Drosophila melanogaster: one gene and its partners. The protein of the gene in region 3 purifies or fractionates together with the protein of the main gene of each other region. This does not show direct contact. Each region holds a gene or a part of one and is shown on either strand. Other genes may lie near its edges.

Region 1 (8,241 bases), 6.6 Mb from region 3:
ACATCTTGATCAGTTGACCAAGTTCGGCGGTGCGATAGTCCGAGACACGTCCTCCGGGGCCATCAGTAATTGATGGAGCCTCATCCATGCAGGAGCGCGTGATGCACAGGGAGTGCACAAAGATCTCGCCACCGCGTGCAGAAAGCATATGGCTGGTGGCCTTTGAGCCGGTCTTGCGCGGCATTTCCAGCAAGACTGAACGTCCGTTAAGCAGAAAGTTAATCAAGCAAGAACTGGGCCGCGAGGTGACGTCCACCGGTGTCACGAGGAACTGACCCAGACAGGGCTGTAGATCTGCAGAGCCGCAACCGCGCGGTGTGCACCACTTAAGAGTCACTGTTTCGTATGTGGCACCTTGCTTGATGCTCGTGGGTAGACTGAAATCTGGGCCACAGGTGATGGAGTGGGCCCTTCGGCTGTGCAGGATTTCCACATCGTAGTTGGCGCTGGAGTTGGCGTTCTGCTCCTCTTTCATGGGTATGTTAGTCACCGTGGTACTAGCTAGGTCGTAATGGTTCAGTATGAGGTGCGTCAGCTTATAGGAAATATCCGGGGCACTGACTGTGTGGATCTCGACATCAAGCAGCGGCGATATCTTGAGCAGGCTGCGATTGGTAACCAACGATTCAACGCCCAGCGGCACAATGTTGAGGATAACTAGGTGGCAATGGTCGATGACCAGTCCCTTCTTGGAGGGCGGAGCTGCTAGGGTGTTCTGCTGCACCAGCACGGTGTTAAAGATGTCCTCCAGGCTTTTCATGCTGGTATTGTCACGCGCTGAAGTTATGCAGATGACGCGACCCTTGTTGGGAATGCGCGGCAGTTCGTCGGTCCCAAAGTCGGCCATTGCCGCCAACTGCTCATCGGTGGGCTCCGCCAGCGCTTCGATGGCGGCCCGCAGGCCATGGATTACCGAGTAGTCAGAAGATGTGGGTACGTTGCGCGACGGCACGCCCACAATTAGCATTGCGTTCATCACGTGCGCCATATTTTGCGTGCTGGGCCTCCAGGTGTTCACGATATGCGCCGCCGTGTCCGAGACAATAAACCGCACATGCTTTTTGCCGGGAAAGAGATCCCAGACCACGCGGCAGTACTCGATGGAGGATTCGCAGGCGCATGTCCACAGGCTCTTGCTGAATTGGGATCCACCGCTGCCGGTTGCATTTCCCGCCGCTCCTGTTGCGCCGCCGTCTGCAGATGGTTTTCCCTTTAGGAAGTCCATCGAGATGTACTCCTCGCTGGCGATGCTAAAGTATCGGGTGTGGTCCAGCACAAAGATGGTCTTCTGGTTGCGTTCGAACATGGTGGACTCGTGGACAACTTAAATTGCCGGGAAATCAAACAAACGCAAACGTTGAATCCTAATTGTTTACAATCTTTGTTCACCACGAACAGCTGTTTTCGAATTCCAAATTCACCACAGCTAATTTTTTTTTATTTTTTTAAATTTACTAAACTGTGTTAAAAAGCTCTTTTCTCAAATTCAACAAAAAAGCACACATTTAAAAAAAATATATCGATGTATTTATAACTTCATTTCAATTTGTCCGTCTCCAATTTACCGAATCTGGCAGCGCTGCTCAGTAGTAAGAATCACGTTGTTAAGCGAAAGCTGTCTAAATTTCATAATATTTTCTAGATTGTTTTTTTTTCCCATACACTGAGTGAAAAGCGCGAGAAGCGCAAGCCAACATATTAGGAAAATGTCGTGGCTTTTGGGCAGGAACCGCCAACAGCCTCAGCCGGATCAGACCGCCGGCTTTTCGGAAGGAGGAGGAGCTGCCGATCCGGAGGGCAGGACGGCCGGCGAGAAGTCCGGGGATTCGCAACTGAGCCGGGCGGAGCGCAAGGCCATGGAAGCGTACCGCTTCGATTCGTCGGCGCTGGAACGTGCAGCGGATGCTGCCAAAACCCTGGAGCGCTCAAGTAAGAACAAAATTTCATCAGCCAATTGCATAACCGGCATGCGCCACGCTATCACAACGTGCGTATGCGTCAGAGTCCATGTCCATAACCCATGTTAATCTTGTGCAGAACACGCCCGGGAGGCCCTCGAGCTGTCCAAGATGCAGGAGGCCACCCGCCAAACGGAGTACAACACCAAGGTCAAGGAGTACGAAGCCCATATCGAGCAGGCCAAGGTCGAGCAGAAGCGCATCGACCACGAGGAGCGCCGCAAAACTCTCATCGAGGAGACCAAGCAGCAGCAGCAGCGTGCCCAATACCAGGATCAGCTGTCCCGCAAGCGGTATGAGGATCAGCTGTTGCAGCAGCAGCGCGTACAGGAGGAAAACCTGCGCAAGCAGGAGGAGAGCGTCCAGCGTCAAGAGGCCATGCGGCGCCAGACCATCGAGCACGAGATCGAGATGAAGGAGAAGAACCGGCTTAAGCTTCTAGAACACGAACTGCGCGCCAAGGCACGAGTGGATCGCGAGAACCGGGATATTAATTTGGAGAAGATCCGTCTCAAGGCGCAGGAGCATCGAACAACCGTACTGGAGGGCATCAAGTGAGTGATACCCCAAACTAGGCAGGATGAAATAACTGATTTTGTGTTACTTATTCACAGAACCGCTGGTACTGTTATCGGTGCCGGTGCTGAGGCTATGCTTACCGACTGGGACAAGGTGCTGACCGCCGCCGGAGGACTTTCGTTGTTGGCCCTGGGTGTGTACACGGCCAAGGGCGCCACTGGAGTGGTCTCTCGATATGTGGAGGCGCGCATTGGTAAACCTACGTTAGTTGGCGAGACGTCGCGCTTTGCTTTTCTGGACGCCCTTAAGAACCCGCTGCACTACCTGAAGAGGCTGCGCGCCAAGCCGACCGATGCGCTGCAGGGCGTTGTGCTAAATCCGAAGCTGGAGGAACGGCTTCGTGACATTGCCATCGCCACAAAGAACACACGTATCAACAAGGGCATGTACAGGAATGTTTTGATGCACGGGCCGCCAGGAACGGGCAAGACCATGTTCGCCAAGAAGCTGGCCGAACACTCTGGCATGGACTTTGCCATCATGACCGGTGGCGATGTGGCGCCCATGGGCAAGGAGGGCGTAACCGCCATCCACAAGGTGTTCGACTGGTCGCACACCTCACGCCGCGGACTTCTGCTCTTTGTGGACGAGGCGGATGCATTCTTACGCAAACGTTCTTCTGAGAAGATCTCGGAGGATCTGCGTGCCGCCCTCAACGCCTTCCTGTACCGCACTTCCGAGCAGAATCCCAAGTTCATGCTTGTGTTGGCCTCCAACACTCCCGAGCAGTTTGATTATGCCATCAACGATCGTCTGGATGAAATGGTGGAGTTCACGCTGCCTGGCCTGGAGGAACGGGAACGCCTCTTGCGCTTGTACTTCGACAAATATGTGCTGCAGCCTGCCGCTGCGGGTGCCAAGTGAGTATTGCAAGAGCTCTTGCAGTTGGAACATTTTTTGATAATTGTTCACAACCATTTATAATCTTCTAGGCGGTTCAAACTGGACACCTTTGATTACGGAAAGACGTGTTCGAAGATGGCCGCTCTGTGCGAGGGTATGTCGGGTCGAGAAATCTCCAAGCTGGGCGTGTCCTGGCAGGCGGCAGTCTATGCCTCCGAGGATGGTCTGCTCACCGAGAAGATGGTCCTGGACAGGTGCTACTCCGCTGCTCAGCAGCATAAGCAGAAGGTGGGTTTGAAAATGTGTATTAACTTATGTGCTTTGGTAACCTTCAATCATGTATCCTTTGCAGATGGCCTGGCTTTCGGATCAGGAGCGTGCTGATCACAAATCCATCACAGGCACAGCTGCCCCACCCCTCACCCTAACTGCAAAGAAACTGTAAAGCGCGGAGGAACCGATGCTGAAGTAGATGCAACCTGCATTCAAAACTTGTTTAGTTTTCTAATCACTTAACTTTAAGTTGGTACGCACAGGGCTTTATCTTACTAACGACCACCAACCAGCAGCCGAGACACCAAAATAGTGCATATCGGTTACGTGTATGCATTTAACAGCCTGTACATAATCGTTGGCGGGAAGATGTGTTCGTCTATAGATACAATTAAGTTTGACCCACAGATAATTGTATTATAAGCCTACATCCACTGTCTCAATAGAATATACAATAAGAAGTATATATTTTAACTGCTGTCGTTGCATTTCGTATGTTAAAGCTTTGGACGTAGACTGTAAATTGAATTCGGTCGCGCCAGCACTGTGAGAGATTTATATTAAACTTCTCGCTGGCTCTTCCACCAATTTCACTTGTCCGCAGTGTTTCCTATATGTGAGTATGAAGTAAATATATATAAATTACCTGTTAAAAATTGCATTTTTATTTCGCCTTTAATAAAAGGACGAATAATGTTTAGGAAATTGGTTATAAGAAAATCGTTCAATGCTCAAAAACACATCATGGGTTTTATTTATTTTTTTTTAAATTTATTAATTTGAGGTTAAACCAAATTTAAATAAACCATCTCATGACTATTTTGGAGTCAGTTGCTACAATTATTTAATTTATTATGTGAAATAATCGCACTACGTTACGTTACGTGTTTTGCACCACCTAGCGGATAGTAGGTGTAGTAAGGACGAGTTGCCAACTATATTTGTCAGTGCCTAATGAAGCGACACCTAAGGGCCAAAGCGAACAACACTTCTGCCATGTCAACTTTATGTTTGCAAATGTAAGTGTACTTACTGCAAATTCTCCTCAATAGGTGTCGCAAAGTCTAAGTGCAAAAAAACTATTAAGCGGAACCCACGGTATCTAATTTAACATCAAATAATAATAATTTAATATCAAATAATTCAATAAAATGAATTCCTTTACTGCCAAAAAAATATTGCTAATTTTAGAACAACAGCTTCCTTGTTTCACCAAAAACACTTTTACAAATTCTTTACTCATACATACATATACATATACATCTACATATGTATGAAATTCATAATTTCCTGCATCGCAACAATATGTAGAGTAGAGTGGAGTAGAAATACAAAAGACTCTTTAAATTTTAATCGATAACAAAAAAGATTTTAAGAACACCAAGCTAGCTTATCGGGTGCATCCACTAGACAAGCAGTGTAAACTGCTTTGTGTAGCAGAGACCCGAACCTAGAGAAATATTTTACAAGTAACGGCAGCACTAAAATTACTTTCACGCAACGGCAACACTTTGTCTAGAATGGCGCGCGAAATCAAAATTTTTGCTTGGCGCGAAGGGAGAGAGAGCTCAAATTTCAATCATAGATATGCGCGAATAATTCCTTTTCAGGATATGTTCAGCTGCAAAGAAAGTGTCCCAACCCAAAAACATTGAAATACATTGTATTTTTTTTTTAACAAATTCTTTATATTTGCTTGCGTTTTTAATTTTTTTGTTATTTTTGTGTTTTTTTTCGGTTGTTTTTTCTTTTATAAAACTTTGTTTTAAGTTGTTCTTTTGTTTGTTTGTTTTCTGCGGTTTTGTATATAAATAATAATACTTATGGCTAGTAATATAGTAAACGTTTTTCGATTTTTCATCAATTTCTCCTTGCAAGCCAAATGCTGCATCGTCTTTAGGCCAACGTAAACGTAACGTAAACGTAAATTTTGTTAATTGATTTGGGTTTTGAAAAATTTCCAACGGCCTTTTGTTGTTCGATTTGATGCTGTTGTTGTTCTTGTGTGGTGTTGAATCGAAAAACTGCAACAATTGCAACTAACAATGCTAAAGTTACGCTAATATAGAATTTTGTTTTGCTTCCGTTTCAAACTTACTTGGCTAGGAGTTCGCTGTTTTGCCTTAAAACTAATAATATTTACACTTAGAAAAATTTGCTAATAGTTTTGCTTGCTCATTTGTCATATTCATTGTTCTGCCATTTCTTCGATCTCTCTTAAGAATTTCATTAAAGATTGCAATTAATTTGTGTCCCCGATTGCTTGTGTGAAGGAAGGGGGAGAGGGGTATTTAGGACCAAGACTTTCGAATATATGTATATATTTATATTCTCATGCACGTTCACAACCTGAGCACAATTAGCATTTAACATCCCCTCAGCCCCTCCCCCATTTCGTCGATTCAATACTGCTTGGAATTGCTAGTGGGCGCCAGCAGGCGACGCGACCAGCACGCCGCCATCCGCTGGGGATCCGTCGCCGTCATCGTCTACAACTGATACTAACTACCGACCATGATGTGGGCCGGGTGCTCCAGTTCGTTGTCGTGCAGGCGGGAGGCGGTCACAACCTGACCGCCCAATCCGCTCTTGAACAGATCCTCGGAGCTGAGCTTACAGCTGGGTACCAGCTCCGTGAACTCCGAACCGAGTCCGAATTCCATGTCCAGGAATCCGTACTCCCAGGTATTGGCGCCCGCCGACACATTGGAGCTAATGCTGCTTACATACGACGAGGTCAGCGAGTGGGTGGCCGAGGAGATGGTCGACAGGGTGGTGAATGTGGCGGTGGTGGAGCTGCTTCCGCAGGAACTGCTACTGCCGCCGCTGGCTTGTACGGTGGTGAAGCTTCCACTGAATGCCAGCGTGGACCCCGAGGAGGAACTGGAACTACTGGCTGGCACTGAAACTGGCACCGCTGTAGGTGTGGCCGCCGACGGAAGTATGCTAAACAAATCGTTGTTGTTGAGCGGATCCAACGCCGATTGCGAACTGAGGCTCAGCACCGAACTCCAGTTGATGGATCGCGTGGAGTCGTCGTCCGCATAACCCGAATCGCTAGTATCGCAGTTGCTGCTGCTTGCGGTAGGTGCAACTGGCGTGGTGCCGTTGCTGCTCACGGTATTCCCACTACTGCTGCTGATCACCGTTGAGGAAGTGGTGTTGCTGCTAGTGCTGCTTGATGCGGGGGAGCTGCTGATGTTGCTACTTAGTGTTGTTGCTGCTCCTCCACTGGAAGCTGCGGCTGCTGCCGAAGCTGCTGCCGCTGCTGCTGTTGTGGTGGGGCAGGCCGGAAAGGGCGTTGCTCGACCAGATTGCGACTCCCGAAAGGGATAGTGATCGTAGGGGTGCAAACTACTGTTGCTGCTCGCCGCCGTCGCTGAGGAGTTGTTGCTGTTGCCGCTGGTATTGCTGCTACTTGCACCCGCTGATGTATCACAGTTGCTCGGCTGCGTGGCGAAGCTGCCCGCACCCGCTGCCGCGCCCCTGTAGGCGGGTTGGCTGTCCAGACGCTCGTGGTAGCTATGCGGCTGCGAAGGCTGCTGTTGCTGCTGGTGTTGGGGCTGGAAACTGAGTTGCTGGTAGTGATCCATGTTGGCCAAACGAGCACAGTTCAACACGGGCGCATAGTCCATCTGCTGCTGCGTATGTGGATGCAGAGGTGCTGGCGGGGATTGCTGCTGCTGCTGCTGCTGCTGGTAGGCTGGGTGGTACTGAGCCGCTTGTGCCGCCGCTGCTGCTGCTGCGGCTGCTGCTGCTGCCGCCTGTTGGTGGTGCTGTTGCGCCGCCTGGTGCAGCTCCTTGGCCTCTGCTTCGATCTCCCGATCAATGCGCTTCAGCGTATTGCAAATGAGCACCGAGCGGTACAGCGACTGCTCAGAAACCTGCCGGAAACGGGAGAGTTTGAACATGGACAGATTGCGTATCTTCAGGCGCGTGTCCTTGTAGCAACTCCTGTTGGCACTGCACCAGCCACCGGGTCGTCCATCGCAGCACCTTTTAAGAGGCAGGCCATGGAGAGGCAAGCCGGCGAATGGAACAACAGGCGCTGATGAGGGCGGCGGACTGATGGGCGATCCTCCAGCATTTCCGGATGCGCCACTGCTGCAGCCCAGGTCCAGATAGGATTTGCCGTTCTCTGCACAACGAATTGTCTGCTGGGGCGCCGCTGGCGGGGCATAAGCTCCACCGTTGGTCGGCTCGTAGAACTGTTGGGCTCCCGATGAGGGATTGGCCGGACTGCTACCCGCTGTCGCCCACTGGGGTGGAGCGAAACCACGCGCCTGCTGCGGTGTTGGCGGTGATTGCGTCATGTGCTGCGGTCCTCCTGTCCGCGAGCAATTCTGCTGCGGGAAAGGCTCCGAATAGTAGTTGGGTTGCCTGCTCCCATATCCGGGGGCATAGCTTCGCTGCTGCTGCGGATGTTGTTGCTGCTGCTGGGCGAGTTGCTGCTGCTGGGGATGTGGTTGTTGTTGGGAGAGCTGCTGCGGCTGCTGCTGGTGGGGATGGGACGGCAGCTGGTGCGAATGAGGGTGCGGATGCGGTACAAAGGGATGATAGCGCATGGGACAGTAGGTGGGTATGATGC
Region 2 (8,437 bases), on a different chromosome or scaffold from region 3:
GAAAGAGATTATATGGTAAGTAATATTTTCATATAAATATATGTGTTTATAAGTATATTGCAAATAAAGCCTTATTGCTTATTCGTTGTCTACACAATTCCATATCAGTATTTTCCGATCTCGCATTGCTGAACTCGATCCACACTCAGAAAAATGGGTACTTGTTTACTTATACATAAAAAAGATTCTGATTCAGTTTCTGATTCCCGTGGCATTCCCAGTTTTTGCAGTAATGCTCTCGTTTTCTTAACAAAAACAACAACCAATTGCACAGTGGGCTAATTACCAAGATTTCAACTCATAATATTTGATTTGAAAACTACAATATATGCTATATTCAGTTCCTTGCGAATTTTGCTGGGGGTTAATTTCAAGCAGCCCCTCTCTATAAGCATATCATTGTTATTCGTTCTTTTCGAAGAACCCTAATATGGGGACGAACATCAGACGGCGGCGGCAGCTTGCGCTTTATGATTTAATAACGTTGCATGGGTGTGCGACCCCCCCCCCTCCCCCACCAAACTCCTTTACCCAGCCCCCGCAGCCGCCCATGCACATTACCAACAACAACGTGGTCGTTTGTTGGGCGCTGAATTGGTTGCACTGCGAAAAATGAACAGCATGCATCAGTGAAAATGTATTATAAATTTGAATAGCAAAAAAACTTAAGTAACTGTGAAAAGTAAAAACTTTTAAAATGGATTTTAAAATAGAAACCATTTTTTTTTTTAGGGTTCATTTAGAATTGTAGTCTAATTTTTGCCAGTGCTATTTTTTGAGCTGGTTTTCTGGTCGGGGCGTTGTTTTCGTCTTGGGCCTCGTCGTCGGGCGCTCACATTATCTGGCTATGGTGCATGTCATCGCTGGGAAAAGTTGTCTCCGTTCGCCCTTCCGCATGCCCCCGCTTTTCCCGCCGCTTTTCCCGCCGCTTTTCCGCACAGTGTCATCTCCCGTTGTCCCTGTCGTCATCGTCGGGCCATATTAAATTGTGTTAAAACACTTGCGCCATGCATGTCACACGGCACCTTGCCCCCCGTCCTTGGGAAATTCGCCGCCCCTTTTTGGCCGCCCAACGCCTCCTGCTACCCTCTTTGTGTGCAATGGCGCGTGTTTTGCCATGTAACTCGTTTTGTCTCCCAGCTCCTTTGCTCCTTTTCTCAGCGTTTCTTTTTATATTTTTTTACAATTTTTCTTTTCTTTTTTTTTTTTTTTGAGTGAGGTAGCTTTTTTATGCCCGCTTCATTTCCGGCAAATTAAAACGCATACGGCGCCACACGAGTAACATTCTGGTAGATCGCTGAGAAGCGAGCAAAAAATTGTACAAAATATATAAAGTAAAATAAAATAAACACTAATTTGGCAGTCGTGACACTCGAAGTTCTTCTTTCATTTTTTTTTTTCGGTTTTTTTCAACATTTTTCGCAGTATAGCCTCTAGAGTCACATAATTTCTGGTTCAGTTTTGCCCACTTTCCAATTTATTTGTTTGCCAGGGGATTTGCAGTCAGCACTATTCACTCTGCACTCGGCTATATGTTGTTTATTTTTGCACTCTTTTATTTTTATGTTGTTGTAATATATACCCATTTTTCTGTTTGCACCTCGCCTCATAATTAAAAGCTGCACTACGAATTTTTCAATAACAGCGATAAATCAGGCATATGGAAGGCCCAGGGAGTTGGCCATAAATAAACTTTACAGCCACACACATTGGCCGACAAAGCGAAACGGCCCAAACGGTGGGCGTTGCAGGACAGAAGTTGGGGGCGTGGCCGAACGAACTTCACATCGATGGCCCAGTCAAGCATGAAAAGCCCCCACTTGGCTCCTTATTAGTAATGCCTCAGATCGTCCGACGACACTCACGGTAAATGCAATCGAAAGTCGAGGAAAGCGAATTAAACCAGATGAAAATTATGTTATTAAAGATGGAAATGAAAGGTTTAAAATATTCATTGAAATATTGAAGAACTTTTTCCTAACTAGACAGCAACTATTGGCATTGACATAGTAATTTTACACTTAAACAATAGGCACTTCAAATTATTGATTGATAGATTGATGCTGATTGTTATGACTGCAATCATTTAAATAAGCAACGTACGGCATCTCATACCACATGTATGCATATCATGCACCCTTAATAAGTTATCGAGTTACTTCGTTCTTGACCAAATTGCATTGTTTCCATTATTCCCATTTCCATCGGTACCTGTGCTGCTTTTACTTATGGGCTTCTAACCCACAAACATTACACATGATATGTATATAGACATAGACGGGTGCGGGTTGGAGTGGTTCATAAGTATAGATTGCGGTTGCCGTAGTGGACCCCTTTATTCTATAGGTTGCATATGTATAAGAGGAAATTAAAAATATATGCTGCATTTGGGCAGCTCTCTTTCGTTTGGTGGTGTGTGTGTGTGGGTGTGTGGGATAGGATGTGTTGCCTACTTTTTGGCATTCGCCAGGCTCTTTTTGTCTGCTCACTTGTTGGTTGGGTTTTGTTTGCTTGTTTGCTTTGTTTTCCACATGGGCCACATTATTATGATGTCTCTTCTCTTTTTCTCGCCTGAATGAAGTGCATCGCACATAAGGGAGTCGAGTGTGTGGGTGTGTGTGTGTGTCTGCAAGTCCTAGAGATGGCAAACTATTGCAACTCATTAGGGAATGGCTTATTGTTATAATGAACCCAAAGTGGCACCGAAATATTTATTTTTAAGCTACTTAAAAGCTCTTTAAATGTAAAGAATACCAGTAGAAAAAATGCATTAAAACAGGATTTACAATACATTTGACTCATTGGTTAACTATGAATTTGTTCCTTATTCCGCATAAAAGTATACAAAGTGTAGTTTTTTCTTCAACCAATTGATGATGTTAAATATCGGTTGACCCCATTGCCCATCGTGTCACGCTGCCATCGCCAAGGACACACACGTTTCGGAGGTCGACTGGCAGCGTCAGCTTCGCGATTTTTCATCAAAGTCACGGCGGGCAAAAGTTGGCGAGATGCTGCCCCATTGTTGCTTCTGACACTGACACCGGAAATGAACACATTTTCCGGTGCCATACGTGTGCGCCTGTCCGTGTGTGTGTGTGTGTGTGAGTCTGTTTGCACTCAAACACACACACACTAAAACAGCGAGAGAAGCACGCACACTGAGACAGACTGAGACCACCCACTGGGAGATTGAAAGTCGCTTAATGTATTGTTTTTCAGCGCTGACTCTCGCCTTTCAGCTTTTGCCTCTCGGATTTTAGCGTTCAGATTTCAGATTTCGGTTCCCAGAAGGCCAACGAAAATACTCGCAGACCACGGCATGATATCCCGCTTATTAGTGTCAAAGGCAAAGTCGTGAATCGGGAGCATCGGAAACCAACTTCCGCCCAGCGAATTTAATTACTCGAGAGAAGGTGTTGATGAAATTGCTCTGCTTGCAGTGACTTTGTCAAAACGAAGGCAACGGAAAATTCGAGTGCAACGTGAACTAAAAGAACTTTATACTCAACCCATTCGATCTTTCATTTAATATAACATGCCTGCAAATGTTTATGATCATTGAACTACCCTTTAAAATAGTTCGATTTTATGTGGCAAAAATGAGTTTAGAAAATCGTTGTTATAATATACTTTAATTTCGTCAAATGTTTTCTAATCTTGAGTTAAATCTTTTTGATATAGCTGCCATTGTTTCCCCACACTCTCGAACCCAGCAGCTTTCTCTACTTTCTCTAACCATTTTCCTGTGTCTGATGGCTTCTTAATTAGCTGTTAAAACGTTTCGGCAGCTGCCAAAACAATTACACGCTTTATTTCCATGAACGGCACGTTTTACCTTCGTTGCAACGCAAGTTAGACCTGACCCCTGACCCCACTCCTCCAACCCATTTGAGTTGACCCCATACCCATACCGTTACACATTCCCACACCCACTATGAACTCCTGTTGCTGCAGCTGGGAATCTAATCCCGGGGACTCAAATCGTTTTACGCTGTCGCCGCATGTGGGCATTAAGTTAAATGCCGGCGTAGACGACAGGAACAATGATGATGGGTCCTGCCCATGATAATGATGATAATAACGGGGGGATGCGGATACGTGATTATGACGATAAGGTTCCGGATTCCGGAGGAGCCCATCGAGTGAGTGAGTGCGGCGCAATCTGCTGATTTATATTATTGTCACGTTTATGGCCAGATTGGGATTGAAATTGAGACGATGGGTGGGCTTAAAAGTGGGTGGCACAGCCAACGGTGCAATGCACTTTTTACAAGCAATTAAAGGTAGTTGGAATAGATAGATATATACATATATATATATATATATGTACGTATCAGATCTTCGAATGTCTAGAGACAGCTGTAAATGAATAATGAACGCCAATTCAGCGAAAAATATATTCAATTCAATTTCGATGCGTCACTCCGGATTCGTCGCTCATTAATTTATGACAGTCATTTTTAACGCTTTGCTGCCCACGATGCCCTCTGCAAGTGACAGTTGATGCTGACGGCGTGCCACGCCCACCCCCTACGCTCTAACGCCCAACCATTTTGCATGCGTCAAATATTCAAGCGCCATTTTTCAATTGAATTGAATGAATTTCTGAATTGAGTGCATGAATGACGATGCCGCTGCGACTAGTTGGCTTTGTTATCGTTAGCCTGGCAGGATCGGGCGACTTATCTATTACATGGATGTTGCAACATGGCTACTTGCTATCTCCTTTCAACATTAAGTGAATCCTTGGAGCAGACAAATTAGAAATATATTGCTGCATACTTTTAGACACCAGAAAGATCCACTGATACCAACCGATTTCAATACGTATAGGGTATTTCTTTATTCGCTCACCTGAAACTCGTACCCATTATTCCGAATTGTTCTATTCCGAATGATTTGTGTTTGGCCCCTTTGTTGACGAACGTCGAGGACAGAGCGGCTCTACGGCGAACGGGCCATTTGGCCGGACTCTAAAGTGGCCATATTTCACGCTCCTCTGATGGGCCTTGTCAACGTGGGCACCACGATGGCTCCAGCTCCAGCTCCTGCTGAATGTGTAGCCATTCTTGGGGCAGGACATTACACTTTAATTAACTACAAGGCCGGGGCAATTGGATTTCTCCATTTCCACCGCAACTCCAACTGCCACGCCCACTCTTTGGCTAGTTTGGGAGCTAATAAAACATTCAAAATATTTTTGTCGGCTCGTTTCTTGGACCGGAGGAGTGTGTAATTTTGCACATTTCATATGAAAAGTTGTCGAGCTCACGCAAAAAACTTTTGCAGCCAACACACAAGGATGCAATGCAGTTGCGCACAGTGGCACTGTGGGTTAAACAATATCAAAAAACAAAAAATAGTTTATAAAATTTATTTAAAAAATAGCTAAAAAATAACTGCACTTATATGTATAATTTTTAATGAGTTGGTAGTAAAAAAAAGTCTTGAACTATGAATCAGGTCCTTTATAAGATAATATTTGAATATTTTGAGGCATTCTTCTTGCACTCAAAACCATAATCCCAAAATGTATAGAACATTTTTGAAACTTTTCCTTACTTTCATTGCAGACTTTTGAATTATGCTCCACATTTCGAGCTCGTCACACGGTGCACAAGAAAAGTTTCTTTTGGCAAAGATTAACAGAACCCAGAAGCAACCGAAAAAGGGTTTGAGATTGGGATTTAGGGGGAATGTGCGTGTTTCTGGCGGCGCATGTTTGGCAATGCGGTAAACCAAATTATGTGCTTAGCAAGTTGCCGCTGCGACCAGAGTCAGTGGAACCAGCCAACCAGCCAACCAACCAGGCAACCAGCCAGCTACCTCAACCACCCGATCCTTTGTGTACTGGATGCAGCTGCATTTGCACAGAGCAACCAGCGCACAGCACAGCCCCTGCTCCCTCCTTTTGAGTCTTTGTGGCACAGCTCCTTGCACTTGGCCGCTTTTCCTGTTGGCTCTGGTGGCAAAGAGGTTTGCACAGGTGTTTCCAACAGCAACTTTGCCAGCATGATTAAAAAGTTTTGCCACGGCTCAGCAATAGAAATCCGAGACTTCGGTTACCACAATGTCAATGCCTGACAAGGGATATGTCATTTCTTATTGTTTGTTGCTAGCTAGGAGCAAAGGGATAGCAACACAATACTAGTACTTGCCAAATCTACAACCTGATTTTATTACTTGCATGTTTAAAAATCTCAATCCCATGACAAATGATCATATAGCCACAAAGATACATAGGTAAATTCTTATAGAATATTCAAGTATCACTGCGGATTCAAATGGTGCTCCAGTTAACCCGCCTGTTACCATAACAAACAACGACTGAGATTGTGTGTCATAAGCGTGTTTACATAGCGTACAAAAAAAAAGGAAATTCAAAATGCATTTTCAGGCCTCGAACATGAGAGTGAGGGATGTGATAATGAGGAGCTAGCCTCTGGCGAAGCGAAACATCTGGGAGTACAAGATCAAGTTAATGTACAAAACGGTGGACATGGCGATGATCATGGCCAAACGGTATCATTTCTTCTTGGCATCCTTGAGGCCAGCGCCGGCGTTGAACTTAAAGAATATGATGTCGCCATCCTCGACGGTGTAGTTGCGTCCCTGTTGGCGATATTTGCCAGCGGCCTTGGCATTCGCCTCACTGCCCTCCGCCTTGAAGTCCTCGAAGTGCATCACCTCGGCCATAATGAAGCCCTTCTCGAAGTCGGTGTGAATGCGTCCGGCAGCCTGGGGAGCCTTGGTGCCCTTCTGGATGGTCCAGGCCTTCACTTCATCCGGCCCGGCGGTGAAGAAGTACTCCAGCTGCAGTCCCTTGTAGCCGGTCACAACGATCTTCTCCAGCATACTTTTGCACTTGGTCTCCGTCTCGTAGGCCTTGCGCTCCAGTTCGTCCTTTTCGGTCAGCTGGTGCTCGAAGGCGCCGGAGAAGGGAATGAGCAGTGCTCCGGGATCGTTCTTGTCGATCCATTCCTTGATCTTCGGCAGCCACTTGTTCTTCTTGCGGATGAAGTCCTTGTCCGAAAGGTTCACCAGGTAGATGACCGGTTTGGAGGTCAGGAACAGATACTTGTTCAAGGCCTCAATCTGAAAGAGCAAAGTAGTGGTGGCGTCAATAAGAACGGGAGGGAAAATCACAAGGTCACACGAAAAAAAACCACAGATTTCGCTGTTTTGTTGGCAAACAAATAAAGACGATAATAACAACAATGAATGAAACACGAATACAAATGCATTCTTAATAAACAAATTTACAATACAATATTTTATGGATATCCCCTTGTTTTTAAGTAGAAAGGAATAACAATAAGCGTTAGTGCCACCCAGCGGATGTGGATTGTTTTCGTACTTACATCATGGGCATTCCAGTCCTCGAAGCGCAGATGACGCTTCTGATCGATAAGGATATCCTTAATCTTAAGCATCGAATCGTATTCGGGCTTGAGCTTCTTGTCGCCGCCGCGGGCCACCACCTTCTCCAGTTTGTCCAAGTTCTTGAGCAGATTCTCCTCGTCCTTGAGGCGCAGCTCCTCGGAGATGATCTCCAGATCGCGCACCGGATCCACCTCGCCCTCCACGTGGGTCACATCCGGATCCTCGAAGGCGCGGCACAAGTGGAAAATGGCATCGCAGGCGCTGATGTGCGAGAGGAAGTCGTTGCCAAGTCCCTGACCCTCGGCGGCTCCCTTCACCAAGCCAGCAATGTCCACGACGTTCAAATAGGCAGGAACCACACTAGTTTTTTTTTTTTAAATACTTATTACTTTCGATTGTGCAGAACTTTTCTATTAAACTTAACAAGCAAATGGCAAGCAAATAACGAAAATAGCAAGTCCCGAAACTTGTTACGCGTTTTAAATGCGTTTCGTGATGCAGGTATATGTTTTTTTTTGTTACAAGCAATGGAAAACTAAAATGCAATGGATTTGTATGCTCCAACTCACCTGGCCGGCTTGTGGTACTCCACCAGGTAATCGAAACGCTCATCGGGCACCGGAACACGACGTGTGGGTAAGGCAAAAGCCATCGGCGGCAGCATCAGCAGGAGCAGATGAAAAGAAGAGGTAAGACGCATGTTAGTCGGGATGACTTGGCTGGACGCAGAAATGCAGAAATCCAAAAATACAAGAATATGAAAAAACAAAAACGATTGACTGACTGACTGGCTTGGTAGCCCGGCAGCATCGGCGGCCAATCATGGCAATTTTCTATAATTTTGCGCCATCCGCAAAGGGGCAGCGAAACCAAAATGAAGTCGCTCACAAATAAAAAGCGCAGGAAAATGAAACCGAAACGAACCGAAGGCGGGGGCAATTTGCATATTGGGAACTGGATCTGATAAAATTGCTAAGGCCGCGACACGCCCACAACGCGAAGGACAGTGAAGCATGGTTAGCTCAACTTTTAAAGGTGCCTTAAATGAATA
Region 3 (7,643 bases):
AGGATGAAGGATTTAGCTTATTCCACTTGCGACTCGTAGCTTGCTGGTGTCCATCGCTCTGCTGTTTATCGCCGTTGGCAATGGATCGATACGAGCCTGCATCACCTCGCTGGGCGCACTGCAGTTCAAGCTGCCGGAGCAGAGCGTCCATCTGGCCGAGTACTTCTCCTTCTACTATTTCGTCTACTATTTTGGAATATTCCTGAGCAAGATCCTTCCGCCGCTGGTTAGAGCTAACACGCAGTGCTTTGACAAGGCGGAATGCTATCCAGCCGTATTCGGCACCCTTGGCGCAGCCTTTATGATGGCCTGGTGTAAGTAACTATCAGTTTTCATAGCTTATTTCTATTTAATTTACGCATGCTTGTGGTATTAGTTATCTTTCTGGTTGGAAAATGGTTCTACAAGTCCGAAAAGCTGTCCGATGACAACATACTCTTCAAGTTCTGCGGCTGCATAAAGACCGCTCTCGTGGAGAAGTGGCGACGTCGCAAGTCGACAAAGCGCTCCAACTACTGGCTACACAATGCAGTTGTAGCCTACGACATGGGTTTCGTCAATGATGTGTCCAGAGTTTTGAGGGTCAGTTATACTTGTGTTATAATGAAGATTCTTTCAACTTCATAATTTCGTTTCTTTTAGATATCCAAGCTGTTTATCCCACTGCCCTTCTACTTTGCTCTGCTGGCGCAACAGGATTCCAGCTGGACATTCCAGGCCACCCAGATGAATACCACATTAATGGGCGTGACCATCCAGCCGGATCAGGCCAAGGCCGTGGGACCCATCTTTCTGTTCATGCTCATCCCTCTATGGCAGTATATAACAGTGCCCTTGCTGCGCCGCTACTTCAACTGGGAGCTCCAGCCGCTCCATAGTGTGACTGTGGGTGGGATCTTCTCCGCCGGCGCCTTTTTCTGTGCAGGAGCCTTGCAGGAACGAATAAAGGTAAGCAGGAATAATAAGATACCTCACCTGATCGTTTATTAACCCGAAATATTCGAAGAATTCCCCGCCCCAAACAGTGAATATAGCTTGGCAACTGCCCCAGTTCCTGCTGCTCATGATGGGCGAATTACTGCTTTCCATTCCGGGTCTCCAGTTCGCCTTCACCCAAGCACCGACCTCTATGAAGTCGGTGGTCACGGCAGCCTGGTTTCTAAATAATGCTTTCGGCAATCTGATCGTGGTTCTGGTCACCGAGCTGGGTATGCTTAGCTCACAGATGGCCGAGTACTTCTTCTATGCGGTGGTAATGCTAGTTTGCATCATCCTCTATGCCCTTTTGGCCTTCGATTACACTCTGCAGGAGCGCAAGGCCGGAATGTATGTGAGGATGGACAGTGAAGCGGAGGACCGGGATGTGCCCAGCACCAGCCGCAGCGGGAGCATATAGGAGAAGTTTCTACGGTCTAGTATTTTCATTGCACTTGTAATTTATTGATAAACGCACACAGGCAAACATGCATTTAACTGAAAACAAATAAAAACTAAACTAAGATCAGTCGATTATCTTGAACATATACTGCAGCTCCAGGTTGGAGTCATCTGGCAGATCAGTGCAGTGGACGGCGTTCTGCACCTTGGACTTGCCGAACTTGGCGCGCAGCGTGTGAGGCCGCAACAGTTTGGCGATCTCCGGATCCATGGGTCCACAGAAGTTGCGGAACTCGCGATCAGTTTTCTTTTCGGGATCGGCGCAAGCAATCTCCATGCACATGCATACTCCACTGGCCAACTGAGCAACCATGGGTATATACTCGGGCACCACTCCGCGGTAGACTTCGTAGAACTCCTCGCAGTTGATTCGGGCCATTAGAATCATGCGCATGGCTGTCAACCGAAAGCCATTCGACAGGATTTCGGAAATGATGTCTCCCAGGAGACCATCCTTGATGCTGTGCGGCTTAATGATGGCAAGTGTTGTATTCTTGAATACACATTCTTTAATTATGCTGTGCCTCGCCTCAGATATGAACTTTAGGTCCATTTCCACGTCGTTGTCGTTATCAGAGTAGTAAAATCCATAACGAATCTCCTCACTTTCAAACAGCTCTTCCAAACTGGGCGACAGTTTCACACTGGGTGTTTCCGCCTCTGTGCTCTTGTACTGGGCGCAGGCCTTGATGGTCTCCACTACGTTGTCGCCGATTAGCTCCAGACTAATGGCCGGACCAGCCAGCAGCTCGTTCATAAGGACTCTGGAATTTAGAGGATAAGATGTGTTCCTTGGCATGCCATCTTTACTCACGAAGAGGAGACATCCGTCGTGTCCTTGCCGGACAGAAACTGAGTTACCATTTTGGGAGAGAACTGAACCATCATGCCCTGGTTTATGTTAATCTTGTTGTCGATCAGAGTCTTTAGGAACTTGCCCAGGTGCTTCGTCCACATATTGTTCTTGAGCAAAACGAATCCCCTGAAAGAGATGGGAATTACAGATTAGCGAGTGGATAGCTGTCGATGAAGGAACATACTTCTTGCGATATTTGGCTAGGTTTGTCCGCGTAGTGTCGTCAGCATAATCCACAATGTCAAACTGCCGGCCAAAGACATTGATCTTGGAGCCCACAAAGAAGTCGCGCTGGGTCAGCTCCGGGATCTTGGTGCGTCGCAGAAATGTGCGCTTGTTGCGCTGGTCGAACTGAGGGAAAACATGGCCTTGGTTAAATGTGTTTCTTTGAAGAACTTGTGCTACCAATCCTCACCACTTCCACGGCCTTGTCGGATACATAGTAGGTGATCAGAAAGGTGCGTATGATTCCAGCCTCTGCATGGAACCACTCGGCCACGAAGGCCAGACGCCGCTCGCTAGCCGGAATCGCAGCGGGTTTCATGGTATCGTTTTGAGGGGAATCTTATACCTTGCTTTTCCGTTCTATCGCTTGACAGCAAGTCCTTTATTTCGAGTGATAACTGTTTGTTTGCTTTGCATTTCAATTGTGCTTCTTCTTTCCCGCGTTGTCACAGCAACAGTGTTGCCAACATAACAAAATTCATTTAAGTGGGCGCAAAATTTAAAGAAAAAAATACCTATGTTAATTTTAAACCCAAATTCTAGGGGATTACCCATAAACAATTTTTAACCATTACCTATAATTTCTTTTTAAAATCGCTATCTATTCAAAGATAAAGCCTTCTTTGCGACATCTTTAAGAAGCTGGACTGCGCATTCCGAATTTAACAGTTTAGAGATTTCTAGAACATTTATAGAATGTTGTAAACTTATAAAATATTGAAAATAAAAAGCCGAATATAAGTTTTTCATTTTTTTTATTGTTAATTTCCTTTATTTACAGGAAACAAAAATAATAAACTGCAAACTGATTTTTGCAATAAATTGGTTGTAGCTTTCCTCTGGTTGTTAAATTCTAGCGTAAAACTTATGGTTTCCCTTGTCGGCGCCAAATCATCTTGTTCCTTGTGTTGCTTTTTGTTAACATCTCTCCTCTGAATACGCATAATATTCAGGTATATTAAATGTGGTTTTCTTCGATTGGAATAGTGTTTCATGTACGCATGCGTTTGTGGATGTTTTATGAGTGATTGAGTGTTTCTTCTTTTTCTTTTCTGGTGTGTATGTGAGGAGTGAGTGTTGTGATCGTGTGCTGACTTATGGTATAAGAGCCACGCCTAACGCTACGACTACGCCAAATTGCGAGACACCATCTGAGCGACCGTCTAGGCAGCTGGCTTCTTCTCCTTATCACCCTCGCCGCCCTCCTCGTCATCCTCGTCGTTCTGGGACAGACTTGGGATGTTGTCATCCGAGTCCTCCTCCTCGTCATCGACGTTGAAATCGTCGAACTTGTTGTTCCAATCGCCACCAGGGCTGTTAAGGAAATTTCCAAACATGCTGTTGTCTTTTTGGTCACCTGCAAAGTGCGTTTGTATGAGTGGGTTTGCTGGATGAGATCTTGGGGATGAGGATGTCAACTTACCCTCCTCGTCGTCGGACTCATCGCGCCACTTGGCAAAGTTGGCTTTTAGGAAATGCAACTTGGTCTTGTCCGTGGTCAGCGAGGACCAGTAGGGACCGGCCGCCTTCTTGGGTATTGTGAATTCCAGGCAGCGGCCAATGTTCTTGCTGGTCACCTTCTCGGGATCCACCTCGTGGAGGAAGTTCAGTGTGACCTCGTACTTCTTCGACGGATCCAGCACGTTTACGCCCTTGAAGGTGAAGGTTTTTTCCGTAACTCTGTTTTGGGATAAATATATGGAATTAGGATGTGCAAGGAGCATGGACATACTACATATGGGGGCATATACTTGTGTTCGATGTCCTTGCATTCGACATCGATGATGACGTAGATCAAGTCATTGCGCTGGGCCCAGGAAACTGGAGGCGGAATCAAGCTGCAATGGAGGATCAAGTTGGATAAACATAAATAAGAGCTTCATGTCGTTGTGCGAGATCCGTTGCCATGGCAACTCGCGTCGGACTTTCTGGAAGCGGGTGCACGAACTATGTAAATAGCTTCCCAGCTAGCTAGATTTGCATAAACCATAAGCCCAGGCAAAAGTCCATGCCGAAAATGCACGGCATTACCGCCAGCCGAAAACATAACCTCAAACACTGGACCCTCCGATTAGTTCCACAAATATCGCAATGCAGATGCGCACAGGACACGCCCACCGTGGACACAAACGCTTGGCCAGGCGGATGAGCGCGAGAATAAGGGTCATCCGAACGAAAATTATGTGTTTTTCACGGCCGGGAGTTCGAAAATGGACGCCGCCGCAACGACAAAGCACGCGACGCACAAAGAAGCCACAAAAAGATGGTCCGGCTATCGCCGATTGGCACTGAGATGGCCGGTTGTGGACTCACCCTGCTGCTGCCGACATTATGTTGTTGCTGTGAATTGTTGGTTTATGTTTTACGAAGTCGGAACACTTCTGACTGACAGCCTGACTTGGTTACAAAAAAAGGCAGTTTCTGTTGAACAAAATTGTCATGCACAAAATTGACATGAGAAACAGAGTTACCGAGCGCGCTGCGGAGATGTGACTAAATTTGAACGGTGCTCTGGGGTGCGAAACTTCGATAGTTGTACTCAAACCACAAATGTTAGCTTGTTACGTGTAACGTAAATTTGAAGTGTTGTGTCAAAACATTTTACATTGTCGGTAAAAAGTATTGAAATCAACTTTTATTTGGTTCAAGGAATTTATGATGATGATTATAAATCTATGATCTACCAAAGTCGGCACGTTTTGGCGCCAGGACGCATGCCGCTGCCCACGGAGCAGTTGTAGGCGTGGAAGAAGTCCTCGCTGTTGGACAAAACTCCCAGGACACGAAATTGGTCGAAGGTGTGCACATCGCTAAGACCTTTCCAGTAGTGCTCCTCCTCGTAATGGGAGCAAAATAGCTGGGCAAATCCCAGGAAGAACAACTGTTCCGGCGTGAGATCGAGACCCGGCATGGCGTCGCTTATCCTCTCCTGCCCAGGATGCTCCAGCAGTTGCTGCCTGTGACTGCGATAGGCCGTCAATGCTTGTCTTAATCCGCTATTGTCTGCGATATTCTCGTCCAGTGTAGTTTTTCCGTTGACACGCCTGCTGATCTCCGGTACCTGGTACTTGCCATAGTAGTCCATGTAGCACTCGGCGCGATCCTCTAATGCCTGTTGCGAAATTTCCGACAACAAGGACTCCATGTGACCATTGCCATCGAAATAGGAGCTGGTCGTATCGAAGCCGTGGATGAGTTCATGACCAACGATAAAACCCAATGTGCCGAATTTCAGGGAAATCGGCAGGTGGCGTTGGTATATCGGTGGTTCCACCACGCCAGCCATCACATTAATGGAGTTGTCCGGAGTGTAGTAGCCCGCTCCAACCTGCAATCCTGTCAGGATCTTCTGTGGCTTGGTGTCATTGGTCAGCTCCTGAAAATGCCGACTGCTAAATCGATTGATTTGTACAACTAGGTGCTGCAAATTAATGTTGGTCTCCGCATAGCGATCCTCGATGACTTTCAGACTGTTGATTTCCCGGATTATTCGATCCGAAAGTGCATCATCTTGGAACGAACCAATGCGTGGCTGTATTCTGGACTCCTTAAGCAGTGCCCTCGCCCTGCTCTCCGCATCCAGCCAATCGGCATCCTCCAGCGCCTTTCGCAGACTCTTTCGCAGTTCCCGCACCATTTCCGACATCTCCAGCCTCTTCGCCTCACTGAAGTTGTTCTGTAACACAAGAGTGTTGAGATTATTTGGTATTCTCATCATACGCATTCGTTACCCACAGCCATGTAGAGTTTGTTGAACAGAAACCGCATGGATTGATAAAGCGTAACCGAACAGTAGTTCCTTTGGTACCTGGGCGCCTTCAGTTTGGGATCGAATCTATAGAGCAGCTTCATGGCCAGGTAGTTGGCCACAGCCTTGCGATGTCGGGCGCATACTTTGTCCAGTTCAACGTAGTAAAAGTCGCAGAATAATTTGTTAGTGGAGTGGAGTCCACTCCACGAGATGTTATAGTAGTACTCCGATTGGGGAAACACTCGCTTAATTCGGTAGGGATCAAACACTTCGCACTGGGGCGGGATCTCGAGTGCGTCCCGCCAGAAGGCAAAGACCCCAGCGATGGCCTCCCTAATCCTGTCCTCCGGCAAGCCGAACGCCCTCAGATATCCGTGCATTCGCTCTTCGTTCAGGCGAAAGGCGCGTGTGGTATTTCTGGAAATGTTTTCCTCATGTACGATGATGTGATCGAAGCCCAGTTCGGGCAGTTTGGTGTAGGGCTCAAAGGGATACCTTAACTGGAGAGTTTCGCGGATCAGACCGTTGGCGCCATAGTTGGCCAGATGAGCACTCATGTTGATCCAGTTAAAGTTTGAGGCTTTCCAGGCGTCTCCATCCACAGCGGGAAATCCTCCAATCGATCGAATTAGACTCAAGTAAGCGGGATCCGCCGCATTGAAAGGATGGAGATTTGCTCCCAGACAAGCGTTGTAGAATCGCTGGGCCACCGCCAGTTCGCTGGATACGTTTAGAGCCTCCGCCAGATCCATTCTGCCCAGCAGTTGCTCCGTGATGTCGATCAGTGTGTAAGTCACGTCGCCCAGGTTGCTTCTACTGCCCGGTGAGTACCGATCCGGCTTTACGTTCCGATAATTTCCACAGGCATACTCGTAGAAATTCTCGCAGGGCTCTACACTTTGGTTCATATAGGATTTCATGAATTCCGCGTATTCCTGCAGTTGGTACTCTGCCGCGGATCTATTGGTCGAGCTACCATTGCTATCGGAATTTTCGGACCTGTCCACAAGGCTCCTGGCCTCGCAATCCGTCAGAACCGCAGCCACAATGACCCACAGCAGCATCAGGGAGATCAGCTTCAGTGATTCATGAAACATATGCGTATTTTATGGGAACACTTCTCAATTGGAACTTATAAAACACACTGATTTAAATCGCGAACGAAAACTGGCAGAATCCCAATAAAATCAAGAGAGCAATAATACAGAGATATAAAAAACCCTTATCAGTAGAATGTGCAACGGATTGTTGATAAGGAAGCGAGTAAGTTTTTGTTTACAATCTGTATACAAATAAGAGATATTTATTGATATTTAGTATTTACATTTTGCAAATTTAATTCCTGTTATCTGCAACGAAAGTGAAAGGAAGTGA
Region 4 (7,286 bases), on a different chromosome or scaffold from region 3:
TTATGAGCAAAGATATCAATTATAGGTTAAGGACCTTTTTTTACTAATGTTAGTTCATTTAAGACATACATATATTCTTTAAAACTACAAAGGTAGATCATAAATATGAATATACCAAAGAAATACAATATTATCGACAATTCAATTTGTATAGAACTTTTTTTTAATATTTTTATAAGTAGATTAGCTTTCTTAATTTTCCCATATGACACACTATGGGATATTAACATTAAAAAATTATTTTCTTTGAAAAATTCTTTGATTTGCCCTCTAATCAAAATGTGATTTTAATGAAATGTAATTTACAAAGAAACATCTTTCAAGAGCAGATTTTAATGACTTACTGAACATACTGACGTCATATAATCGATATATATATAATATATATATATTATATAATCGATATAAAAAAATTTTTCTTAAGTTTAATAGTGCATACTTTGGCTTGTAATAATTTACGCTTCGAATTTCGAATTTAAAGTGAACGGGTAATATCTTTTATCTTATACAACTTATACAACGAACATAATGAATCTACGTAGCTTTTTTATAGTTAGATGCACATTACTGGTGGCGAAGTGAAACGCATTTCGGATAAGTTTCGAATGCTGAGTTCCCTATAAAAAACAATCGCAGAACTTGATGAAATAGAAGCCAAAGTGACTGAAAACTATGAAAGTATGAACTATTCAGGCACTGGTTCCAAAACGGGTATCAATTCATGCATAAATTGTAACGTGTAACGAAATAAGTTTATGGACAAGGGCAAGGGAGAAACCTGTACTTGCGGGTGCACGCTTTAAAGTCCGGCTCTAGCTCATGGTGTGGCGGTCTTGCTTGTACAAATACCTTTTCCCTACAGGCATTAATAATTAAAATCAAGAATTGAGCGTGCTTTCAACAACGGAATAGAGGAGCTAGTATACAAAATCGGAGGAAGAAAATTAATATTTTCGAAAGGAGGAGGAAGTTCTAGAACAGGAGGAATAGCTTAAGAATTGGTTGCCTGCGCAACACAGGTTTAATTATGTTCGCGGATTGCCCTATGCTATCTATGACCACTTTCATTAAAGGCATGGCTCTAGCGGCCCCTTTGGTACCCTATGTCCGATGAAACATCAGCCGAGTTCAGTATTTAAGTTTTTAGAAATTCATTTTTTTATTGCATTCATGGTGGTAACTAATAATTAATAGCAATATTTATAAGTAATAATAGGTAAGTAATAAATTAAATAAGTAAATAAATGAATGCAAACTAAAGTAAGATGAGGAAATATAAGGCAGTAGGTGTTAGTTTTTGCCGTAAATTCAAGAAAAATTTTATAAAAGGTATTCAAGAAAATTGTCATTAAATGGATGCGACACAGGTTGCTAAATATATTTTAGAGGAGAACCAAATTATTTATTTAAATTATCCCATAAACTTATGGTAACTTATGGTAAAGCCTTCTAATATATGATTTAAAAATATAACCTAATTTTTCTCAGTGCAGAATGGCGGTTCGGAGATTTTGAATTTTTCCGATGTAGGTTTAGGTCAGGAAGGGTTCATCCAGCATTATTTTATATACTATGTACATATATATTTCAAATTTGTATATGTTCACTTCATCAGGAACTTCTCACTGTGTAACCTAACTTAACCCAACTGTGCGCTTAACCTAACTGTACGGTTCTATTTTAATTAATACATTTTCTGTGTGCTGCTTCTTATCCTCTTCGGAATTTTCGATGGGAAAAAGTTAGAACCTTCGCGTCTACTAACAGATTACTTTTCGCCCCGATATCCACTAACCTGTGGCTGCCCCAGTCGAAACTTGGGGTCTGGGCGGTGGCGCCCATTATCCTGCTGCATAATAATGCTAATTCCTAAAGTTTGTCTATCCCGGGAGCTGTATTGTTTTACAGCTTTAGTGTTAAACCTACAGATTCTCAGAGAACAGATGGCTACTCATTCGTTGACTAGAAGGGAGGGCGGAGGGCCTTTGCTGAGAGACTCTCAAAATTGAAAGTTTTACCTGGTTCGTCGTAAAACTTTTTTTGTTTTGAGTTCAAATTAATGTTTTATAAATGAAATAATAAATAACTAAATAATAATAATAAATAAATAATAAATAAATAAGCTTATATAATAAGATCCATTTTAATTGTTTTTTCATAAAACAAAATGAGTGATTTTTTTTATAATTACAAATGAAACACTTGAATTACCGAAACAAAAACGCTTAACTGTGCCATCACTAATACTTATTGGCAATAAATAAGTGCGATTTTATGACAACAAAGACGTATCGATAAGATGCATGTGCAAAATGCGGTGTGTGTATTAACTTAATACTTGGCCTAAGGCTTATCGATAAGGATATCGATACTAAAAAGTCCGGCACCATTGTCGCTATCGAATGCCCAAGTATACAAGACAAGCTATGAGAACGAATATAAGGTGGTCAGTTTTAAGTAATTCAAAAAATTCTAAGTCAAAATGTGTCGCAAGTGTAGTTACTTGATTTAATCGCGAAATTTACTCGTGGATTATGTCTTAAGATAATATCGATATATTGCCGGCGTCATCGATTGCTGACACATATCGAAAGGTCCGGCCACACTGCTCACCGTCTTCTTCTTGTCATCCCTTCCGTTTCCCTTTCTTTTCGTCTTCACGTTTCCGGTGAGTGCGTGTGCTCCGCGAATTTTTAAGCAAAACTCCCTATTAAATACCTCCAATTCTCTTTTTTACTTGCAGCGGGAGTATTACGATACGTTCGCGTTCGTGTAACTTTGTGTTTGCAAATCAATCCAGGTAATTGTCGCCGAAAACCCCCATTTTCAAGCGGCCGCACCGGGAAAATATGCGCCCAATGTTGTTCCCGAATGCATGTGTACATTTTTTTTTTGTGTGGACAAAGAAGCGAGTCTTTCAGACTCAATAAACAATGTGTGAATTGGATACCACATGGATGATCTGTAGATATATCCTGGCAATGAACCGAATCTAATTGCTATTTTTTTTTTTTGTTGTTTGTGCAGAATGTTTATGCCAAAGGCCCATCGTGTCGCGATCTACGAGTACCTCTTCAAGGAGGGCGTGATCGTGGCCAAGAAGGATTTCCATGCCCAGAAGCACCCGGAACTGGAGTCGATCCCCAACTTGCACGTGATCAAGGCGATGCAGTCGCTCCACTCGCGCGGACTGGTTAAGGAGCAGTTCGCCTGGCGCCACTACTACTGGTACCTCACCAACGAGGGAATCGAGGAGCTGCGCAGCTACCTCCACCTGCCGCCCGAGATCGTGCCCTCGACGCTGAAGCGCCCTGCCCGCTCGGAGACCGTCCGTCCCCGTCCCGCCGTTGGCGGCCCACGCGGACCCGGTGACGCCTCCAAGACCGGAGAGGATCGCTCCGCCTACCGACGTGCTCCCGGCGGCAGCGGAGTGGACAAGAAGGGCGATGTTGGACCCGGTGCCGGAGAGGTCGAGTTCCGTGGCGGATTCGGACGCGGATCGCGCAACTAAACAACCCAGGCGCTTCAGTTTTTTTTTCTAATGTATAAAAAATTACTCAGTAAAATGTTCAACTGAAGATCCATACCCTTAACAATAGAAGAAACCAACATCTGAAAAATGTGTGTGTGTTTTATGATATGACGATCAATTATAAAGCAAACGCAAGTGAAATTCCGTGCTCCCCTCTATTTTTTTTTTTTGTTTTGTTTTTGTTGTTTGGTCCAGTGATTGTGGTGTGCAAATCGGACGTGGATTCAGATCCCAAGCGTGGCTAAATAGTATAGTAAACCCGATGCCCGGCCAAACTGAAACTGCTAACCCAACACATTTTTGCAAGAAGCTCTTCAGATAACTTTAGAAGTAGGATTTTGCAGATAATTCAGTTTATTTTGCGAGGTTCTGTCGAGAGGAAAGAAGGAATTCTAGCGTAAATACGTTTTTTTGAATACAATACATGCATTCAATTTTGGTAATTTCAAAAGATTGTTGTATATAGATTTGGATATTTGTCGATTTGTAGCTCTTTATTATAAAAATATGTGCAGAAATTCATCGCATTCGTTTATAGCTGTGTGCCAAAACATAGTAGACTTGGGTTGGAATAAACCAGTTGGCTCGAAATACTACATTCAAATATTTAAATAACATTAGAATCCAATTGCTCATAACAAAAACGGCATGAATTGCAAGGACATAGATTAAATTTGATTTACCATCAAAGGAAATGGTATATTTTCTAAACGATAAGCCAAAATCTTCGTATGTGGAGGAACGTAACTTAAATGCTCAATTTCGTTTTATTTGTTCACGCTACTTAAACGTTCACAATTAGTTAAATAACTAGTTTACTTAAATAGTCTTCTTTTGCTCACGAGCATCCTTTTGTTGTTCTGTAGCTGCCTTTTACTTATATATTAATTCTAATTTTATAAATACACTAGTTTCACATTTCCCAAAGTTAGGTTTTAGTTAAATCTTATGTGTCTACTAATATTATTTAAAAGCTTATGTGCTTCTCCATTTAACGTTGATTACTTTCAACTAATATTTTATGTAAACAAGTAAGTATGCTGCTATGCTCGGACCATAAAGAATTCGAATCGCTTAGATTATTTATTTAGGCCGACCAAAAGAACTACAACAATATACGACGAATGGCATTATTCTAGGTTTATGCCATGGCACATCGGAGTAGAAACATGGTTTGGGTAGTTAAGGTTATGTACATTCCTCCATTTAGCATAAATCCGAAGATACCTGGAGACTATCATTGCCTTAACATGGTTAAAAGAAGCTGGTTATGGACCTATGTTTCCCGCAAAAACGTTCTGCGCATCGCAACTGGGGCGCACTGCGCTGGAAAGTGTATTCGCTTGCAACAATAAAAAAAAAATCGCTTTGTATACAAAATAATTGTGGTTTCATTATTTACAATGTGCAATACTCGTTTAGAAAAATGTACACCTAATCTAGTGCTACGTCTGTATCAATAATTTTATGAAAGTACGTCTCTTGACCGAGGAAACGGGGCGGGCGTGATGTGGAGACGCCCGGCCCGACGGCGGAGCTATCGGCGCTTTATCGAGATCTTGCCCTTGGCCAGATGGGACATGTTGATCTTAACCTTGGTCTCGTTGGTGCGCTTCACCCAAACCTGCAAGAGCGAATCATGGTTAGAAACTGTTCCGCTGGACTTGTGACCCCCCAATCGGGGAAAGTTGAACTCACCACCTCGTTGCCAATGGCCGTAATGGTGGCCGCGAACTTGCTCATCTCCTTGCCCTCGACATAGACCTGCTGGCCGCGGCAGAACCATCGCCGCTCGTACAGCAGCTTGTTGTCCTCGATGCGAGTCTCCACCAGGCCGCTATTGGAGGTCGGCTCGGCCAGAACGTGCATCGATTGCTGCTGCTGGGAGCCACTGCCGTAGGAGCCGCTGCCGTTCTGCTGGGGAACTGGATTCGGTCTGCCACGCTGGATGATCTTTAGGTCCGACTCGATTTCCTTATCATCCAGCTGGTAGACGAGCAGCTGGCCGGTGGCCGGCTTGCGGCGCTTCTCGATCACCGGAAGCGGTTCGTTGGGGCGACGACGCAGCTTGCGCGTGATCGTCGTCTTGATCTCCATGGAATCGTTGGTCAGCTCGATGCTGAAGCGCTCGTTCTCGATCTGACGCTTGCGGTCCTCGAAGTCCGAGATCAGGTTGTCTTTGAGGTCCATCATCTTTTCGTCGTACTCCTTCTGGGCGGCCATCTTCTCCAGCACATAGTCCCGTTCGACGCACTCGCGCATGTACTCCTTGTAGACCTCGTTCATGCGTCGGCGCTCCTTTAGCTGGCTGTCCAGCTTCTTCACGCGCTTCAAGTACTCCGGATGCACCAGCTGGCCCAGTTCCTCCATCTGCTTCTGCAGGTTGAACAGCTTGTGCTGGTACATTCTACGGCAGTGAAATGATTATGGATCGAAGATAGGAGTTAAGAATGAGCCACTACTTACTGCTCCTTCAGTTCGCTGTTGGTGCCCATGTTGTTGCTGTTGGAGGTCCCATTCATGGCGCCGTAGCGGCTGGGGCTGCGGAACTCCGTCTCGCTGGCGTCGTCCGTGTCTGGAAGGGAGTGGAAGTGGTAGGGGGAAGAGGAGAGCGTTGGACGCGGGACGTGAGTGAAGCCTCCTCCAGGAACGTCGTCTGCGTACTGGTACTCACCTTCTTCGCTACGCTCGTCGCCTATCGACTCGTCGTCGTAGGTGTCCGCTTGTAGTAGTAGACTGTAGTAGTTGGACATGGTCGTGTTGGTGGGTTCAGAACTCGCGGCTTTGAAACTTGATACCCAAAATCAACAATTTGGTGGCAATTGTTTATTATTATTTATTTTTTTCGCTGCGATGCCAGATATACACACGCATACAGTGAAGCAACCACGGCAGTATCGATATATCGAGCACGAGGGCTATCGATCGTTGTCCAGCTCTATGGACTTTTGGCGGCAGGGTTGTCTATCTACCGATAACATTACTCATCGGATATCGTGATTATATGCGCGCGTAGTTCAAACTTTTGATTTTGAAATGGCCATTGTTACAGCCATTTCTGTGCTAAACCAAAAAATTATATATATATATATAAATTCCATTTCAGTAATATGAACATAAATTATTTTATTACCTAAAAATTCTTCAAATTCTATTAAATTTCCTTTTGTATTTATAAATTGCTTAGCTGTAAATTTATCAATTAAACAGACAACCAAACCAAAATGTTCTGTATATGCATATGTAGGAAAATTGTGGTAATTGCTTCATTTATTAGTCCATTGTTATTGAATTTAAATTTTGATGACGCACTATCCATGACATCAGCGGATATATTTCAAAAATATGTCACCGGGCTAGAATGGAATTGAATTACAGCTACAGCTTTGTGGGTGTAATTTAATTGAGCAACTCACGGCTCTGGTGCTAAACAAAAATGATTTAAGCCGTGAACGGCTTACGGTTTCGAACAATAAATAGCCGACTGTCGTTTTTGCGCTTCATAAAGTTTAATTTGTGTATCTGCCCGCCTATAATTAAATAGTGCCCGCACAGGCGCTGCACTCGTACGTATACGTAATACGCGTTTACACTTATGTACATAAATATGTACATACATGTCCAACAATCCAACAATCCGCATGGGCGAAAGCATACTTTGTTTGAATACCACGACGGCTGACATATATTCCGATGCTGTCGTCAAGCAGAAGCCATCCACTGGCCGCCAGTGGATGAGTCTGCCCACGCAGGA

The links.
Region 1: the proteins of p23 (region 3) and bor purify together in Drosophila melanogaster (affinity purification with mass spectrometry, with the first as the bait; one large-scale study listed by BioGRID). This does not show direct contact.
Region 2: the proteins of p23 (region 3) and CARPB purify together in Drosophila melanogaster (affinity purification with mass spectrometry, with the first as the bait; one large-scale study listed by BioGRID). This does not show direct contact.
Region 4: the proteins of p23 (region 3) and RpS10b purify together in Drosophila melanogaster (affinity purification with mass spectrometry, with the first as the bait; one large-scale study listed by BioGRID). This does not show direct contact.

The regions. Positions count from the first base shown.
Region 1 is NT_033777.3:16,257,418-16,265,658, reverse strand, and holds bor (belphegor), read left to right. Parts: upstream 1-1,543; 5' UTR 1,544-1,589; exon of another isoform or gene 1,590-1,642; 5' UTR 1,643-1,706; coding exon 1,707-1,929; intron 1,930-2,037; coding exon 2,038-2,512; intron 2,513-2,572; coding exon 2,573-3,397; intron 3,398-3,469; coding exon 3,470-3,668; intron 3,669-3,732; coding exon 3,733-3,825; 3' UTR 3,826-4,304; downstream 4,305-8,241. Other genes in the region: asun (asunder), read right to left, coding at 1-1,306; tara (taranis), read right to left, coding at 6,155-8,241. UniProt on the Drosophila melanogaster protein: Required to maintain the proper number of mitochondria in neurons and muscles.
Region 2 is NC_004354.4:9,779,820-9,788,256, reverse strand, and holds the start of CARPB (carbonic anhydrase-related protein B), read right to left. Parts: upstream 5,035-8,437; 5' UTR 4,858-5,034; intron 1-4,857. Other genes in the region: CG1354 (uncharacterized protein), read right to left, coding at 6,529-7,098, 7,365-7,746, 7,956-8,016.
Region 3 is NT_033777.3:9,675,275-9,682,917, reverse strand, and holds p23 (p23), read right to left. Parts: upstream 4,992-7,643; 5' UTR 4,849-4,991; coding exon 4,832-4,848; intron 4,357-4,831; coding exon 4,270-4,356; intron 4,199-4,269; coding exon 3,942-4,198; intron 3,876-3,941; coding exon 3,682-3,875; 3' UTR 3,260-3,681; downstream 1-3,259. Other genes in the region: CG9444 (uncharacterized protein), read left to right, coding at 40-314, 377-582, 643-948, 1,007-1,396; nmdyn-D7, read right to left, coding at 1,502-2,201, 2,252-2,419, 2,478-2,644, 2,709-2,837; Nepl12 (Neprilysin-like 12), read right to left, coding at 5,199-6,194, 6,254-7,366. UniProt on the Drosophila melanogaster protein: Cytosolic prostaglandin synthase that catalyzes the oxidoreduction of prostaglandin endoperoxide H2 (PGH2) to prostaglandin E2 (PGE2).
Region 4 is NC_004354.4:19,595,406-19,602,691, forward strand, and holds RpS10b (ribosomal protein S10b), read left to right. Parts: upstream 1-2,634; 5' UTR 2,635-2,672; exon of another isoform or gene 2,673-2,743; 5' UTR 2,744-2,800; intron 2,801-3,019; exon of another isoform or gene 3,020-3,027; 5' UTR 3,028-3,028; coding exon 3,029-3,511; 3' UTR 3,512-4,401; downstream 4,402-7,286. Other genes in the region: CG14220 (uncharacterized protein), read right to left, coding at 5,070-5,156, 5,231-5,939, 5,999-6,107, 6,207-6,285.